Linked DNA regions of Lepisosteus oculatus. The protein of the gene in region 1 interacts with the protein of each later gene in a biochemical or structural test. Links are inferred from orthologs where the notes say so. Each region holds a gene or a part of one and is shown in the gene's direction. Other genes may lie near its edges.

Region 1 (9,217 bases):
CCTTTGAGTGCCTGTATTGAGAATCAATAATTAATTAACGCTTGTCTCCACTGGTCTGTGCTTCAATCCTGAGATGTCAGCACATATCTGAAGTTTGCCAGTCTGAATTAAAGCATGAGCTCAGATGCATTTGAAAACACTGGACATATCAATGTTGTGTTAACCTCATCATCAAGGTGAGTCCTACTAATAGGACTCCCACCACTTACCATCCAGCCAACACACACACGCTGGTTCTTGATGTTCTCAGTCTTTGAAGGCGGCAGATGTCAAGTGGTGAGTTTTGACTGAGGTGAATCTATGGCAATTGGGGGAAGCATGAGGAGCAGGTTTCACCTTAAGGATAAAGGAGAACACAGATCTTAAAATTATTACAGTAGTGGGTTTTGAACTGTCAGGACCTTTGCTTGTATCGGCTTGTATCCTTAGGTTGAGAAAACCCAGATAGGCAGTTATAGATTGAAACTGCGAGGAGATGGTTTCTCTATACCCCTGGAATGAGTTTTACTTTTGTTTTAGGATATGGGGCCTCACATCTTCCAGACATGTCCATCGGCAAATTACTTTGACTGTAAAGCCATGTCCATTGGAGCCCGTTCCCAGTCTGCTCGCACTTACCTGGAAAGAAACATGGAGAAATTTATTGACTGTGAGTACAAAATAGAAAGTATCCAGTATTTCCAGTATCTCACTATCCATCATGGTTCATGAGGGTGTTAAACTTTGTCTTTTTTTCTCAAGGCAATTTGAACGAACTTGTCCAGCATGGTCTCCGTGCTTTAAGAGAAACCCTCCCTGCTGAGCAGGACCTTACTACAAAGGTAAGTAATTCGTGCAGCGTCTGATGCAAAGAAAACCCGGTGATTTGTCTTATAACAATTTCATCATTGACAAGCAAGCAGTAAATATGAAAGATGTTTAGATGTAATGTGGTATGTAATGATTTTACACTGACAGAGATTTATATTCTGTATGACTGTGCACTGCTTAGCTCCATTTGTTTCACATTTTCATGCTTAATTGATTTGATACACGAATCCAAAAACAGGCTATGAAAGTGATTATTAATGTTGTTTTGAATTGTAAAAATTTAAAAATGTATTTAAGCTTAAATATGGGGGACATTGAATGTATTTAGTGTTTGATTTAATATTCAGTAATGATTAACTTTACTATTTATTATGACATATTTAATATTCAGAAAAATACTTTAAAGGGTAACATTCTTGGCCTTCACAGAATGTCTCCATTGGAATTGTTGGCAAAGACCTGGAGTTTACTATCTATGATGATGACGAAGTTGCACCGTTCCTCGAAGGCCTTGAAGAGAGACCCCAGAGAAAGGTAGATATATTTAACCGTACAGTTCTTTCACAACTTCCTCTTGCTGAAAATGTCTCCTGTGCTTTCCATAAGCACAATGTTCTGCTCCATATGTATTCAGTATACAATTGGCTAAGGTTTTTTTTGCCAAGTTATATAATATATTTTTATAAAATGAGTAGCTTTCTTTTTATTTATATAAATTAAAAGAGAATTAAGGGACAATTAGGGTGATTGTTTCCCTCAAGGTGAATAAGAAGAATTATTACACTTTCCAAAATGTATAGGATTTATACAACAATGCAGCAAATTATACTGTAAGGCCTTCGCTTGCTTTACATATCCTTCTGTTGAATTTTTCACAGTAATTTTTCATGCTCAGTATATTTAACTGTATACTTAAGGCAAGATTTTTGTTTTAGAAAAAATAATGATGTTTCTTTATTAAAGTTGGGATTTCTTTACTGAAGCCTGCTCCTGTTTTGATTTCTAGGTTGCACAGCCGCCTGAAGAGCCAGCAGGAGGAAAAGCTGATGAGCCCATGGAGCACTGATGTTGGTCCTGGCTGCCAAAGATTTACACTGCTGATTAAAAAGTTCACAATCTGTAACATACCTGCTGTCAGTCTATGACCATGCATTCACAAAGTAAATGTCAACATGGAGCCCATTTTGGCCTAAGAAGATCTTAGAAAGCCACCTACCACAATATTAGCTTTTTTGTTTTCTACAAAGACTAGTTATATTATGCTTTTCTATATGAACCAACCTCAGATTGAAGTTTCAGAATAAAATCTTGTTTTCCCTATGTGTTTCAGGTCGTAGCTTTTTTAAAAAACAAAACAACAGAAATGTTAAGTAACAACTGCTTCCAATAAAAAATAAAAAAGAATTTGTAGTACCTTGTTAACCATGTACTTTATAAGGTTGCAGTCTAAAGCACTCTTCAGAAAACACACTTGCTAAATGTAAGGATCCTGTGAGATAGAAAAGGTTTGCGCTCCATTAAAAAATAGAGGGTCTTGAAGGTGAACCCGAAGTTCCAGGACTGCATGTTTGTTTTCATAGTTAAGTTTGTTTTTCATAGTGAGTTAAATCAGCTGGTACAGTGTAAGATGGGTGCTGAATTTCCTTTATGTATAAGTAAAGGGTAATCATTTGGTACCAATTAATCATGAACCAGGCCCGAGTTTCAGTTATATGTTGTTTTCAGAGGTGGTGTCCAAGGTACGCTTATTTGCCAATTTTATTGTGTCATTTTTTCTGTCTGCTTAAGTCAAAATATCAGGTAGCAATATGCTCTCTTGGCATCTTCTAACGTTCTCTGAAAAAAATGGGCTTGCTAGACATACATAACATGATGTTAATTGATTATTGTACGCACACCTCTTGAAATACTACTAATAATCCCACTTTCAGTTCAATATGGATAAAGGTGATGGTGCTGTTTAAGTCACCCCATTGAATTGTTAGTTTTGTTTAGATAGAGGATTTCTTGTGGATAGAAAGGTTATCTGCAGGTATTTTAACACCCTTTTAAGTTCTATGTTTAATTGTTATAAAGTTTGTTGTATTAGGAAAGAAATGAGCATATTTTAGTTTTCATGGTGATAAAACGGTACCCATTGGAAGTAAAAAAAAAAACCCTGAAATATTGAAAATGTGACCGGATTATGAAATACCAGGTGTATTTTCTGCTATAATTTTTCCAGACGGGGTCATCAAATGCTGTGCAACAATGTCCTGTGTCAGGCGAAGCAGACCTTTGATATTGATTTGAGTCAAGGTTCCTGCAGTATGAAGGACACCGCTGAAGGAAGAGGTGTAATAGTATATCCCAGGGGTGACCTCAAACCTGCAGATAGTTTATTTTCTAGTTTCACAAAAAGGGCTGGCACCGCAAGAAGAGGTCATGTTACAGAAGAAGCAGTAAGGTGTTCTCCCCGTTAGTCATTATCCCCAGGTCACAACAACTTCTGGTGAGGTCAGCATTTTTTTAGGTATATAGAATATTGTAGAAATGTTCTCTCATCATTCCAATGAGATGAGTTCTGTTGTTACTCCTGTCATTGTCTCTGTCCCTCACTCCTTACTGATCATGCACGCTATTCTTTTTCATTCACATTTGAGCATGATGCGTGGAAAGTTAAGGAAACTGACGCAGATGAATTTCAGATCATTAAAAGATATATCTTCATTGGCATGTTTATTGTGAAATCATAGTCCCTGTTGGGCTTCAGTAAATATTTACTTACAACAAAAATAATATTCCTTGGCTCACATAACAATCAGCTAAATGTAAGCCAGCAATAGTGCCTGGGATCTTGTTCTGTTAAGGGATAACAAGGATAGCAGAATGTCCATGGCTTCTGTGCTGATTGATTTAAGAATACATATGAACAAGCATTAGCAACACAGGGTACAACACAAAGCATATGATATGATATACTGTAGAACTAGTTCATTTATAGAAATGAAGAGAACAGAGGAAGGGTGAATGTTCTGGTGATGTACTTAATGGAGTACCACAGAGATCTGTATTAGGACCACTACTCTTCCTAATTTATATCAATGGTATAGTTAGTAAACAGAATGTTAGTATATACTGTATATACTGAACATTCAAATAAACAGTAGTTATAACGGCTAGTTTAATGGAGTCTTACCCTCGATACTGTATATGGGGCATAATTGTTATTTACTTGAATTTCACCAGGCTTTAATCAGTGGAAACACATTCTATTTTTAAAAAAATACATGCTCAAATGGAGTGATATGTTTTGATGCTCAGTATAAATAAATGTAAAATTGTGATCAATAGGCTCCTTCAACTAGAAGACTGTTATGAGAATACTGTACACAACCTTTATCACTATGTTAAAATGAAAACATTATGTTAGAATAGCATCAGTCCAGAGAAGAAAGAAACTGAATCTTCATAGTCTTGTATTGAAGAGTATAATGGGAATTGATTCAAATATTAAAACATATCAAATCATAAAATCAAACCAATAGACTTTTTCAGAATCAGTAAACAAATATGAACATGAAACACAAACATGAGATTGAGAATGTGTTATGTTGGGGTTTTTTTTCACATTAGGGTTGTTGGGATTTGGACTAGGTGTTGTTGGAGCTGAACTAAACTTTCAACAAATGGCTGGATGAAATCCTCTTAGCTCAGGTTGCTAAGTTAAGCAACCACAATCTAGACAAACCAAATAGCATCCTCTTCCTCTTTTGTAACGTTTCTTTTGCTCTTCTCAGAAAAGCCAGATAAAAATAATGATACCAATACTAATGCTGTTGACGTAGGAAAAAAAAGTCTGTTTTATGCTAATAAAGTACAGACAATCTATGATCTGGTCACACCCTCAGGGGACATTACTGACAAAGGGAGAGAGATGGTTGTGGGGTATCAGGAAAAGGTAGACATGACCACAATGATAAATGCCTGCACTTATGTAGAATGACCTGGGTTATGTGGAGGTTCTTGGTTAACCTATGTCACTGGCCAGAGGCTTGGTGGACAATTGTGGACATTGAATCCTCCCATTTAAACCCATTTGACAGACAGTTCTGATCATGACATAAATCCCTAAAACAGAATGAAATGCACTTTTGAGTTCTAATAGGGGGAGGTGTTTGTGATAATGAAGCAACGAGTGGATATTTACAAAAATATTTAAAATTAGAAAAAATTATCATTATTGAAACAAAGTTTTATTTTTATTAAGGAACATATATAGTGTTGCACTGGTGTTTATTTTTTCTGTTTTTGAACATATTTTAATAGGCGATTTGCAAAGAACATTTAAACTTCATCGTAAAAATTATAATCTGAATTAACATCGATCAAATCGTTTTTTCAATGTATTTTAATGATTCGGTCATATCTATAAACAAGAAATGTTTAAATAGATTAGTAGGATTTAACTACTAATCTATTTAAGCATTTCTTATTTATAGATATGATCGAATCAATAAAATAAAATTGAAAAACTGATTTACCTATACTCTGTTTCTATCTATACACTAAATGTTGGTGACGTTAAAAGTTCACATTTGTACGCATGCAGGCAGAAACGAGTTTCTGTTCCCTCTCGCCTTAGTTTAAGCAAGTTTGTCCCTCTTAGCTTCCTGTAGTATTGATGTGGCTCAGACCTCCTAGTTCCACGTCACTTGGATGTTGTAGCGTAGTGCAGCTGGGGAGAGGTTAACACAGTGAATAAAAAGGTAAAGAAACTTTCATTTTAATTGTGTAGATTTATGCGGTTTTGTATCATTTTACGGAAGTTTCTTCTATAAGAAATATTTACAATTGCATTGTAATTTTCAAAAGGTTCTTCCTTTTTGTAAATTGAAGCTCCACATCTCGCAGGTTATTTTAGCTGAAGTTCCAGCAAGGCACCACTACAGAGAGCATTAACAAGGAAGACATTTGTCAAGCCGGAGTTGGATGACCCATGATAAATCGGTTATGGCTGTTGATTTGAACGTTATGCACAAACTTGCTACTGTGGTGGTTTTGCCTCCACAATACCGATTTCTGATGTAGCTTGTGGGATTTTGTGTAGTTGAGCCGGTCACTTCCTGAGGCCTATCTTTTAGGCCAAACCTCTTGATTGTGCAGAAGAACGAGCTCGGTGCAGTTTACTATAAAATTATGTGATCACACCTGCACAGAATAGTCAACTGATATGGTCAATAAATTAGTGGCTTTCCACATGCTTTTATTGTATTGTAGTTTACACCAAGGGAACAATCGTTAAAATATCGTTGTGTAACGTCAGACTTGGGTAGACAAGTTATGGCCCTAATACAAAATGTTTACGTTTATTGTAATATCTTAAAAGGATATAGTTTCATTTTTGCCTTATTACTTAGTATTTGTTCTTAAATGTTGTTTTCACCTGCCCTTTATATGGTGGTGTTAATTGTATTTATTCTCATTACGGAGAAGAACCTAAAAGATGATAAAATAGTGCTTCATGATAAGTTACTGTTGGTTCCCAGCAAGTTTCTTATTAATATATGAACGTTATGCTGTAAGTTTTACTTGAATTATGTTTTTGTCATCAGGTTGCAAAACGTAAAATAAAATAATAGAAGTGGTGTTTACAGGTGTTCTAATTTACGGAGGCCACTTATACATGTGTATTTAAATGCGAACGTCCTGTGAGCAGTAAGTGTAATTATGTCTCTATGAACAGCACGGATTTGACGTGCCAGCGTGGAGCAGGATATTCTTGGTGCTGTACAGGGAAGAGGTCAGGGTGTCTGCAGGTGTTCTAGGTCTCTTTAAAGCAGCAGCACCTGAAGATCTAAGATAACGTAATAAATTGGTCCAATTAGCCCAGTGATGATCTGACAGGACATTAAGAGCTACATTGAAATTAAATCCTCTAGGACCAGGATTGGACAGCCCAATTCTAAATGATTTGGTCATTTGTGACAGCTGCTTTGTTGATTTTAATGCCATTTCACGTCGATAAATAATGTATAATATGGCAAAGTTACTCGCGTTTTGCACAGCAGTCACTTGCGATCAATTTTATCTTAAAAAAATGCATGTTCTTGTTCTTTGTTACAGGGTCTGATCAACATCAAGTTTCTCCTGGTGTTTTTCGTTCAGAAAATTAGACAGCCGGCATCATGACCGCCGCGGAGAATGTGTGTTACACTCTCATAAATGTTCCGATGGACTCGGAACCGCCATCAGAACTAAGTTTGAAAACAGACCTCGGTGAGTGTTAAATGCAAACAACTGCAAGGGAAGCTAGAAGGAAGAACTTGCTGTAGATTTACACCAGGTTTGTTGAATGGTTAACACATGGTTAAAAAAATAAAAGTGTTTCTTTCTTTGATGTTTTGCCACTCACGATTAAAGCATTTTTGGGGGGTAGTTTTCCTGTTTTCTAAAGGGGATAGGATTGAGTGATCTTTGTGTGAATGTGATTATGCACGTGTTCATTTTCAGTCTTGTGGTGCTGTTCACTTTTAGAAAAGGGGGATATCAAGGCCAAAACGGAGGCCTTGAAGAAGGTGATCATCATGATTCTCAATGGGGAGAAGCTGCCTGGCCTGCTGATGACCATCATTCGCTTTGTACTGCCTCTTCAAGATCACACCATTAAAAAGCTGCTCCTTGTCTTCTGGGAGATTGTTCCCAAGACCACTCCAGATGGGAAGCTGTTGCAAGAGATGATCTTGGTCTGTGATGCCTACAGAAAGGTACTTGTCCGGCTCACTAGTGTGTCATGTTCTGAATTTGTGCCTTTTGACAGTGTTGTCTGAAAGTGTTTGCTTTGGAAGACCGGTCACGTATGTTGTGAAAAGATTTTTTCATGTCTCCTGTCCTGATCTTCCCTACAAAGATGGGCAGAGGAGAATACATTTCCATTGCACCAAGTCTTAAAAACTCAGAACATTTTGATATTTTTCTTTTAGTCTGGTTAAGGGCACTTGTTTCCTGCCCTCATGTGCCATTTTTCTGTTCTGTGTTCTGTACTGTGTTGGTTAGTTTTTGCCAGGTCATGTGCTTGCTTTGACTCTAAGAATAAGACGTCAAATATACATTAGATGTACTTCACTTGGTTTTGTGGGTTTACTGCAAGATTTTAACATCTGCAGTTTTCATATGTTTCATATTTATAATCATATTGCTGGCCGTGTTAAGGTCTCGCTTCTATAAACAACAAGAGTGCTTCTTCACGTTGCACAGCTGTGGCTTTTTCTCTCCACTTTTCAAGTGTTGGTGAGTGAGCACTTACCACTTATCTTTCTCGTAAAAAAAGTCAGAAATACTTGAACAGCCAAGAGAGCCAAGAGCGTTTCCCCAATATTAATACTCTTAGGTATTTTCCAAAAGCCATGAAAGTTGTAGGAATTGGAAAATGGGGAACAGTGTTTGTTTTGATCGAGACCCACTTCTATAATCATCAATAGGAATTTTCAGTGCACCTCTTATATTTGAATTGGATTTTTCTTTTCACTTCTAAGCAAAAGACATTATGATGAAGAGTGGGTAAAATAATAGAATAAGGATTTAAAAGCTGTCATGGCTGTTGAGCTCAAAGCTTGTTTGAACGCTTCTTCTTTTACAGCTTTGCACTTAAGAAATTATCACCAGGACCATGCAGGAGGAATGAAATCTGATCCAGCCACCCGTTTCTCGTGACTCCATATTTGCCACAGAAAACTATTCTCACAGTGTGCTTCTTGCCACTTTGATGGGGGAAAAACACCTGATCATGAAGCAAAATAGGAGGCAATTGTTGACCTAAACTGTACTGTTTAATAATCGCCAGAAATCTGTTGTTGCTTAAGCCTGAATGCAGGTTTAACTCAGTCACCCACTTCAGCATTGCGACCTGGCCTAAATTGCCTTCGGCTTTGGAGTCACTGATCTGCCCTTGTGTCTGCTGGGGTGAGGATAGTTTGTGGTTATTCATTTCTGTTGCATTAACAGGACCTACAGCATCCTAATGAATTCATTCGGGGTTCCACCTTGCGGTTCCTGTGCAAGCTGAAAGAGTCTGAGCTGCTGGAGCCCTTGATGCCAGCGATCCGTGCCTGCCTGGAGCACCGACACAGCTATGTGCGGCGAAATGCTGTCTTGGCCATTTACACCATTTATAGGTGAGTTTGGGAGCAATGAAGGGACTACACCTCTTTATGCACAATACACAGTGTATAAGGACAGATTTTTAGAAGCCGATGTTGTAAAAGAAAACAGGTAGCTGGGTCTTTGTTCCTTAATGAAATGGAACTTCTGAATAACTTTTAATGAAAAGGGTGCCATTAATGTTAACTTTCTATTCCTATAGGAATTTTGAGAATTTAATTCCTGATGCGCCTGAGCTGATCCATGATTTTCTGGTAAATGAGAAGGA
Region 2 (9,680 bases), on another chromosome or scaffold:
GTTCTTCACCGCCCACCCCTGGCTGCTGCTGATAAGACAGTACTGTCGATTCATGGCAGCCGTTGGAGAGGGTAGGGAGGAGCACCTGGACCTTCTACAGATCAGTACATTGTAGCAAAAAGACTTGGGGGGGGGGGATTCATAGAGAGGTGAATAACTTAAAAAATACAAGCCCATTACACACTACCCTTGTGTTTTCCAAACTGCCCTCACGTTCTCTCTACCAGATCAAGGTCTCTCCAGCACTGCGGTACAAGTGTTCAGCACCACAGCTGTGAAATGCTGCTCGGATGCACTACATTTGCATGGCACCTAAAATACTTTGCATATCCGCTCAGTGGTGATCTTGACTGTTCTGACAAGTGTTTAAGATTAACCCGAAGAAAATGCAGTAGAGATATGAGATCCAAGAGAGACATAACATTGCACAATATGGAGGTGAATTGGTTCATGAAAGCGAAACAGAGTTCTGCTTCATTCAATATGACGTTTTTTTTACATTCCTGCTCTCTATGGCTTTGTTAATCTTCTCATTAAGTAAATTGGACCAACTGAACATTTTTCAAAGATCTTCAGCTGTCGACGATTTAACGAGCCCTAAAAAAACCTTCTGGATTCTAGTCTTTAGGTATAGGAGATGTGCTCCTTTCTAAGCGTTGTGTTCTACGTGTTCTCTCTCTATGCCAGGAGCTGGTCTGACTGCTGTCAAGAATGGGTTTAAAAATGTCACGTATGCTTCCTTGGAACCACATGTGTGTTCTCATGACTTCCAAGTAATCCTCTCAATCCGTATTAGGACGTGCCATTTACGTAAAAGACTGCAGATTTACTTTCGGCACATATGGTTACGAAATATACACATTTAATTTCAGCGCAATTTATTCACAGTTTTACATCACTAAATGTGATGTAATGTAATGTAATGTGATGAAATTAATGTGATCGCATGATTTATTAGACGTTTTCGGTTTATTTCTTTCTTTTACCTACAGATATAAAGCCCAGTTATCAGCACCATAAACCAAATGGTGCATACTCCATACTTTACACTCATAACAATCATTCAACTGAGTCATCTCTAATTGAACTTTTACAGTGTTATGAACAGGTCCTCTGTCTTCTTAAGAATTTATTATTGTATTCCCCCCACTTTGAAAGTTCTTGTTCATTTCAGCCGCCTACCAACATACAGGTTTTCTCGGTTTTAACCAATGGCAGCGCTCAGACACACAGATTGACATTTACAACAGCCAATCGCAGCTCTCCGAATTCAGCTCCAGGAACTTCAGGTTTCCGCGTGTCTACCGTAAACCCACCTGGGCGCCGGGCTCGCGTGACATCCCTGTCCCTTCGACACCGTCAGCGTGGGAGAGAGAGGAGATCGGCTGTGCCGTGAAGGTTGTCCCGCTCTGTACGCGCTGAACAGGAAACTGCAGCAATCCCGGCTACAACGCGCCAAGCTGTCAGAGAGGACAAGAGCGAAGCGCTAAATGAAAAATATTCCGTCCTCCTTCCCGTGTCCTCCAAAGAATGTCATTTCCGGGGGGGAAGGTCACGCATGCGTGTTGCGCCCAATGAAAGTGAGGACAAAATATTAGGAATAATTCCAATATTATAATAATAATAATAATTGCTTACACTTATATAGCGCTTTTCTGGACACTCCACTCAAAGCGCTTAACAGGTAATGGGGACTCCCCTTCACCACCACCAATAATATACTGTCGTTTTTATAGCTTTTTCATTATTCAATTATAGAGACGGATTTGGTCATTATAATAGGTTAGCGATTTCGCTTGAGTTACTTCTAAAAGTAACACATTAAATATTACACATTGGTGGTGGTGGAGGGGATCCCCATTACCTGAAAAGCGCTATATAAGTGTAAGCAATTATTAATTATTATATTCCTTTAAATTTTTGTGTTGTTCCTCTAGAGTGAAGAATTTATTATCACCGGCTTTTGTGGGTTTTTAGGAAACACTACTGTACATTTTGGAAAAGCGGTTACTTCACGCGCCCGTGGGGCATTAAGATTATACGCAGCTAAGTTCTTCATGGTTCAGTCTTCAGTCACTTTATTTTAAATATACTCTTCTGCGAATAGCAGGTACTCCTGCAAACCGTGCCGTACAGTCTGCGATGTCTGTGCTAGGTGCTGTTTTCCGTCTTTAAAAAGGTTAGAGAAAATCTGACATTTGTCTACCGTGAGACTGAGAGTATCGTTCCCCACCATCATGTTTAGTACAATATTTCACTTAAATGATGAAGCGTTAGGATAACAATGTTGGAATTCCACTGCAGCATTCAACTTTTAAGTTTTTGAATTTGTCAAACACCCTTTTTTTATTTCTGCTACAGACCCAAAAGAGGACAAACGCATTGGGATGTGCCTGGATTAACACGATTTGGAGTGTTATTGTATTGCACAATGTAACGTCCCATTTCAAGGCATTTTAAATCAGCTGTCAATCAGGTCAGCGAGCCCGCCTCCAGAATGACGGTGAGCAGACAGGCCCCGCCCCTCTGCGCGTCAGGTGCGCTGCGGCCGGCAAGATGGCAGCGGGTCCAGTTTCCGTTTATCTGGAATTTTACTAAATTGTTCGGTTTCAGTTTTGTTTTGGTATTACTATTTATTTTCCGCGCAGATAAAGCTAAAATATCAATTGTTTTATTTGACGTTATAATGCTGCTGTCTCCTCTCATTGTGCTGCCCCCCTCCCCCCACTGTAAAGCACTTTGAGAAGCCAATTTCAAAGGAGCTATATAAAAGTGTACTATCATTTAAACCTGGAAAGGCAACTTAAAGTACAGCACATAGGATTCTGCTTTGAGACTAGGGGAAGAAAATCAGCCGTGTTCGGTATTAGTCATAGATGACAAGTCATCTGAAATTTGTCAAGATATTAACTGCCAGTGTCTGTACATAAATGTACATTATCATTCAGATAAACTGGATATGACTAATAAATGTGTTCTATTAAATATTAAGACACACACTTGCCTATCAATTGTCTTTATTTTACTTTTAAAACTAAAGTGGCGATTTAACTTTATTTGTACACAGGCCTAAGGAGAATGATTTGTAGAAATTCGACATGCTGTTCATCTTTCTTCAGTTATGCAGCTCCAAGCCCTCAGTGTTCTTCTGCTGACCAGTCCCCAGTCTCAGCTCAGTTGCTGGGCAGGTCTTGTGCTGGTGAGGTATTCATTGCAGTTCAATACTGACCAGCATTTCCATCTGCAATCTGGCTCTCAAGTGGTGTAACTCGTGTTTAATTATAAAACAGTTAAAGTTCCCCACCCCACCCTTTTTCGTACAGATCGTTAGTGTTTTGCGTTTCTGTAATAAAAGGTGTTTGCTTGGTTTGGGAATTGTCTTTTATTTTTTTTATGTATATGATGTATAATGAGAATTTATTTGGCTAGAGAATCTATACTAGGAACTCAGAACAGCCAGTTGCTATAGTTACAAAGTTGTCTTCTAATAAGGACTTCAGCCTTGAAAAGGAGAACCCAATTTATTTATGTTTTTCTTAGAAACTGGTTGAGCTACTTCCGTTTTAAATTCATACACATTTTCCTGGTATTAGACGTGTGGGATTCACGTCTACCCATATATTAAAACTAACCCGTCTGCTCCAAAGGAGGAAATAAAAAAAAAAAACAGGCAAGGTATAAAGACTGACCACTGATCAAAGCAAGCTGGAGACACAGTTTGGGAGCTACAGTGATATGGCCTGTCTACAATGCAGCCATTTTGTCAGTCACAAGCACTGATAGACCCATGTAGCTCACCAAAGGATGTGCTCACTGTCTGTATCATAAATCAGATAAGTAGAAACCGTTCGTTCTGGACCATGTCTGGCCACCTATAAGTTTGGGGGAAATGCCTACAGAGACGTTGTACCAGTTCCGAAGTGAAGGGTCCTCAACGGTTTGTCTGTAATGGCACTGGTCTGCATGGTGCTCTTCAGGCTATCCGAACTGTATACGGCGCCCATCCGGCGAAGCTGCAACAGAAACGCAGAGCAGCGTCATGGTCACAGCTTGGTGCAACCAGATACTCGGTTTATTCCTCAAGAACCTTGCAGTTAGCAACGCAGTGTGAGCTCATAATTATACTCACTATCTCGGTTGTTATGAAGTCTTTCACCGTTGGAAAGGTTAGATTTAGAGACGCAAACTATACGACTCGACGCATGTGCAACAGAAATAAAAATGTCAACAATTTAGTCTTTGTTCTACGGCATGAATAAAAGGGGCTTGTTGTTTACATTGTCAAATTTAAAGCCCGCACCTCAAGTCCAGTCTTTAAATTTTAACATTCGTCAATTAGATCTGATCGCACCTTTATAGGTTTACGGCAGGCCTTTAAGGATATTAGCTCGGTTTTCAACTTGACGGTGCTTACTTTTCCCCCTCGACTTCACCTACGTAACTATCATGCCTTTAAACCAACAGTTAAGAACAGATGCATCGGTGGCTCTCCAAAGGAAGGTGCTTGGAAGTTTCCGCTTGTCTGGCATTTTGTGGTCTTGGTAAGATGGTTTTTGACATTAGAAGAGAGGACATCGGTGAAGACCCTCGCAATGGCTGGCAAAAAGAAAGACTGAAATCAATACAGACGTGCTCTTACTGCTGTTCGCGAGGTTTCACAAGATGCATGTGGCTTAAATGGGAATTTTAATCAGGGATGAATCATAAGATCTTAAATCAAACGTGATTCTGGCACATTTTGATTCACCGTGTGCCCGATTACAAACATCGGCACTGCCCTCTATCGGCAGGATTTTTAAAAAGTCATTCAGAGTGGTGGAAGCAAGGTCACTCGCGCAGCATAAGAAGAGTAATTCATATAATTATACCCGATACACAAGTTGTCCAAAAGAAGAAAATATTCGACGTCCCTCCTTGCCAGCACAAGGGGTTACTAAACATTGATCCAGTTATTCCTGGATCGGGAATACAGTGCCATTTACAAATCGGTCCTTACAGCTGCTCGGATCATGTAAACTTTTTCCAAAGCATGCAGGGAACCAGCTTTAGTAACATAGAGGGGTTGCATTAAATGCTTTGATTCCAAGCCGTGTTTAAAAATCCGTCCAGAATCATCGCATATGCGGCTTTGCGGAGATGTGCTTTAAAATTTCGTAGCAAGTAGTATTACTAGGTTAGGCTGGTGTTTAAGTTGTGGGTGTTGGCGGTTTCTTAAAGCTAGGGATTTCTGAAAAAAAAAAGGGTTGAACCCACCCCGCAGGGCTTACAAACGCTAACGGGAAAGATATGTTTAATTAGCAATTAAGCTACGCTACTGATGCTGATGTTGAATCTTCCACATGTTCGAATGCTACCTAACGCCGTGCACTTTGACCCCGTGACAAGCTGCTTCCGGTTGGAGACGTGGCTCTGTGCTGCCATATTGGAGCCGTAGGCTGGGAGACGCCAGTGGAAAGCAGCGGATCGACTCTTGAATATTTTGCAGAGAAAGCGTCTGGAAATTGGGAGGATCCCCCTATCATTAGGAACGTAATATCTTTTGCAAGCACAAGGAGCGAAAATGGTAAGCCTTGAAGTCTTCTAGTCGGTTACCGAACAGTGCGTTTTAACCGAAAGATGATCGAGACCAGTCCTTGTTCCGGCTTGGTCAGTGGACGAGAGTCGGAAAGGAAATATAAAGTCTTGATTGAGACAAGGACCGTTAACGGTCCGATTCGCAAGCTGTTAAGAGGTAGTTTTATTTTTATAAAGAGTTGTCGGACTTCGCGCAGACAGTATCATTAGCGGATAGAGGTTTATAGCGATCAAACCGCTGCTGTCGTAGGCCCCGCTGGAAATAATGCACTTGGCAGTGAATACAGTAGCTGCTGGCTCGGGTAAAATACCCATTTTTCCTCCCATCCAAGTCATGGTATAAAAAGAGACCTTAACTAGGTGAATGGAATAACTCTGTCCTTGTAGCGTAAAACACGGCTCGAGTGACGTGGCTGGCACGTTTAGTGGAGATCGGGAAGAATTTCAGCTTGGGTGTCTCATACAGCCATGCAATATGGTAAACACTAACAATCAATTATAGTGTGCCTTTTCGTAGACCTCGCCATGATCAAGCTAGCCGATTGCTTTAGGAAAATGCAAGCTTGCAGCATTTTTATTTACCGACATACTGAACACTAAAGAACCGTCGTTACAAAATAACGAAACCTGTCAAACAAGTTACTTTAAAAATCTGAATACAGCATTATAAAAACAAGCGACGGACCTCGTACCTACAGCGTTGGAGTAGCACCGACGTCCGAAGGCGATACGTACTTGAATGAACAACTTCATCAGCTCGGGTCTTGAAATAAATACTACTGCCCAGTTGGGGACTTGGACACCAGTACACGATCTCGTTGTATTCCAGAAAAGGAATCGCACAGATAGCTGTTGGTCTAAGACCAGGTGATTACGCGCAAGATCGCTTATCGGAGTGCTTCTTAAGCTGGTATTGATGGCGATAGTGTCGCCTTCTGATTTTTATAGCCGAGTATTTAATCGCAGGCTAAGTGTTTTCAGTTGGCTTTGAGGCGTTCTATAAAATGCTTTGGGTTCACAAAACTAATTAGTGTCGGCCGCGTACTAATTTTCGAGATTCACAACTCCCCTGATTCAGGTGTTAGCTGAATTTGTTTACAATTAAGCCACTGGAGGGGAGAGGCAGGAGACACTCTATGGAGTTTGACAATCACCCACAAGCCCTTTAGCCAGAATTAAGGGAGCCCGAGAAAAACTGCTTAAAGTTCTGCATGTTGAAGTGGTCAAAAAAACATGAAATGCAATGGTATGTCTGAAACCAAGGACGCTGATCAATTCAAGGCATCAGTTAGCACCAGGAATTTAAGAGAGCGGGTGAAACAAAAACTAGCAGAGTCCGTAGGCTGATGTACTGCTTTTCTGTTCCATCTCATATTTTGGAAATCACAGTACAGATTGAAACGGTTTATAAAACCGGAACACCTGTTTTACTGACCAGGTCACAAGGCGGTGAAATCTACACTGTTGCGTGTATGAACTGCATCCATCACAGTCTACTTCGCAGGTCCTTTAGGTGTTTTTCAGTGACTCTGTCTGTTCCCCAATATAAAACAGTTTACATGTCTAGGTTATAGGTGTAGTCACGGTAGACTAGACCTCACAGATGTTTACGTTTACCAGAAAAGCCCAACTATTTGTTGGTCATTTATAGATCTAGCGGTGCTACAATCTGACTATATTTAAGGTCTTTTCAAAATATTATGATCTGTGTAGCAAACTTTCTCCCTGATTCTTTCTATGTGTGATGGTTAAAATCAGGTCTCAGGTCAAATGTTATTGGTGATAATTAAGTGCTTCAAAGGAAGTATAATTAATTGCTTCTCAAGGAATAATCCTGTCTGCTGGTATTGATTTCAGCAACAGATCTCTCCAGGATTGCATTTCCTTTTCTTTTTAAAGTTCAGGTTGGTGAAACCTGCACACAAACTCCCAAAATGTATTCATCTGACAGTTTTAAGAAACACATCCGCAGGGCCAGTCATAGGACTACTTTCAAATAAGCAACAATATGTTTTGGAGTCTTGAGGTTGCTATTTGTGTGTGTGTGTTGTGTACTTTTTAAAGGGCAGGATGTAGGAAGGAGCAGGCCTTTTCCACAAAAAATGCATCATCACTTTTAAGTATTACGTGCTAATCAGGATGCTGTTTCAGAAACAGCTCATCTGATTCAGCTGTTGGATTGGTGTAAAATTTCACCATCCTTCCCCATGTGTTTGCTCAGCTTCCAGTACAAAAAGGGGAAAGTACTCTGATTATTTTCTCCGATGCAGGTTTATTCTACTTATCTAATTCTGCATTTTGCTCCTTGAACACCATGGTGAACACGTAACTGGAAAGTGACGTTGCCGTGCAGAAATGCTGTTTACCTTATGGATTTTGGGTTAAAGACAACAACAAATGCCTATAGGTTCTTTCTGTGCAAGTTAAGCCTGAGGACGATCGGGATGAATCCAGTGCTTGAAGGTGGCTGTCAGTTTGCCACGTGCCAGAAGACCATTGTGACCACTGTGCTGCCGTTGGCTTCAGTCTGACCCCCAGTTCTTAGAAGCATGAGAAAGTGTCCCATCTTCCTTCTGGTTACAGCAGACAAGTATATTGGTAGCACCTGGGAACGTTTGGCAGTGTTCATCCTTTGTGCACTTTGGGCATGATTTAAATTGGATCATTTCAGGTGTCTTGGTGTTCGAATCATCTGAGCTGTGAAAGGTGTATTCCTTTTAAATGTGTGGTTATGAGACCTTGGGTAAATGTAAGGTCCCTTTGCTGCCTTCTTAAATTAGATTATTTCAGTCCTCCGAAATTGGTTTTCGAATTATTAAACCACGAAAGAGATGTACAAGAAATGAAAGCTATTTATTTTTTTTGTTTGCTTTGTTCAACACAGGCCCCGGCCTTGTTGTATGAAAGCTGTGATTAGAATCCTCCGCGGTGCGGAGCTGGTTCTGTCTTTCCAAGATATGTTCTTTTAAAGGTCTGCTGCCTTCCTCTGTAAACAGCACCGTCGCCCTGCATTTCTTAACATTTTTCAGGATACAAAGTAAAAAAAAAACAGCATTTAAAATTAAAATAAAGTCTTTGTCCGTTTCCATGGCGAATTTGGATTTTATTACTTCACAGCAGTATGGTAGCAAAAATTGCCACGTGTTTTCTGAAATGAACGGCCCGCGCTACGGTTTATTCTGGACCTTCGGAACGGGAGAAGAATTGAGGACGCAGAAAACGGGCCAAGAACCTTCAGAACCTTTTGCCAAGCGTCTGTGCGTGTATTCCTGAGTGCTCATCGGTCCCTTGGAAGACTCCTGCTTGGCAAGGCGGAGAGAAGCACACAGAGTAAACCAAAATGAGGGGAAGAAAGAAAAGAATCCGAAATCCTCTCCCTGCCATTCCAGGTTAACGCGGTGTTTTTGTGTTTGATAACGGAAGAGCAGCTTTCCATCTTTGTAGGAGTCACCCTTCTCGTCTTAGCCATCTAAATGGGGAAAACGTTTCATGAGTACACGATTTAATTACCTGTCTTGTCAGTATTTTTAATATGGCTTGTAAGTTTAGGGGGAGGAAAATCTATCCTAAAGTTTAATTGCACAAGAGTGCAAAAAAACCTTTCTCCCGTCCCCAGAGTGAACAAAACCCGTCGGGCTTGTGAGACTGAACGTGCGAGAGGTCCCCACGCGTGTCGGTTTTCTTCACCGCGCTACAAATCTCTTGTTCCACCTGTGGGCCAGAGAGGGCGCTAACCTGGCTTCAGCACGGCTTGACAGCTGACACCCCCGTTTTCCCTTCTCTTCCCCGAGGTGCTGTTGGCAGCGGCAGTGTGCACCAAGGCGGGCAAGGCCATCGTGTCGCGCCAGTTTGTGGAAATGACCCGCACGCGCATCGAAGGCCTGCTGGCGGCCTTCCCCAAGCTCATGAACACGGGCAAGCAGCACACCTTCGTGGAGACGGAGAGCGTGCGCTACGTGTACCAGCCCCTGGAGAAGCTCTACATGGTGCTCATCACCACCAAGAACAGCAACATCCTGGAGGACCTGGAGACCCTGCGCCTCTTCTCCCGTGTGGTAAGACGCCCCCCCCTTCCTGCCTCGCCAGGCGTCAGGCCCGACGCAGAA

What was found.
Region 2: the proteins of copb1 (region 1) and arcn1a form a complex in vitro, tested with the Homo sapiens proteins (2 studies listed by BioGRID). The link is inferred for Lepisosteus oculatus from reciprocal best matches to the Homo sapiens genes COPB1 and ARCN1.

The regions. Positions count from the first base shown.
Region 1 is NC_090716.1:10,266,414-10,275,630, reverse strand, and holds the start of copb1 (coatomer subunit beta), read left to right. Parts: upstream 1-5,460; 5' UTR 5,461-5,558; intron 5,559-6,915; 5' UTR 6,916-6,977; coding exon 6,978-7,068; intron 7,069-7,326; coding exon 7,327-7,556; intron 7,557-8,793; coding exon 8,794-8,963; intron 8,964-9,151; coding exon 9,152-9,217. Other genes in the region: psma1 (proteasome subunit alpha type-1), read left to right, coding at 520-649, 742-821, 1,240-1,344, 1,817-1,876. UniProt on the Homo sapiens protein: The coatomer is a cytosolic protein complex that binds to dilysine motifs and reversibly associates with Golgi non-clathrin-coated vesicles, which further mediate biosynthetic protein transport from the ER, via the Golgi up to the trans Golgi network.
Region 2 is NC_090718.1:11,591,209-11,600,888, forward strand, and holds the start of arcn1a (archain 1a), read left to right. Parts: upstream 1-5,388; 5' UTR 5,389-5,560; coding exon 5,561-5,563; intron 5,564-9,365; coding exon 9,366-9,629; intron 9,630-9,680. UniProt on the Homo sapiens protein: Component of the coatomer, a cytosolic protein complex that binds to dilysine motifs and reversibly associates with Golgi non-clathrin-coated vesicles, which further mediate biosynthetic protein transport from the ER, via the Golgi up to the trans Golgi network.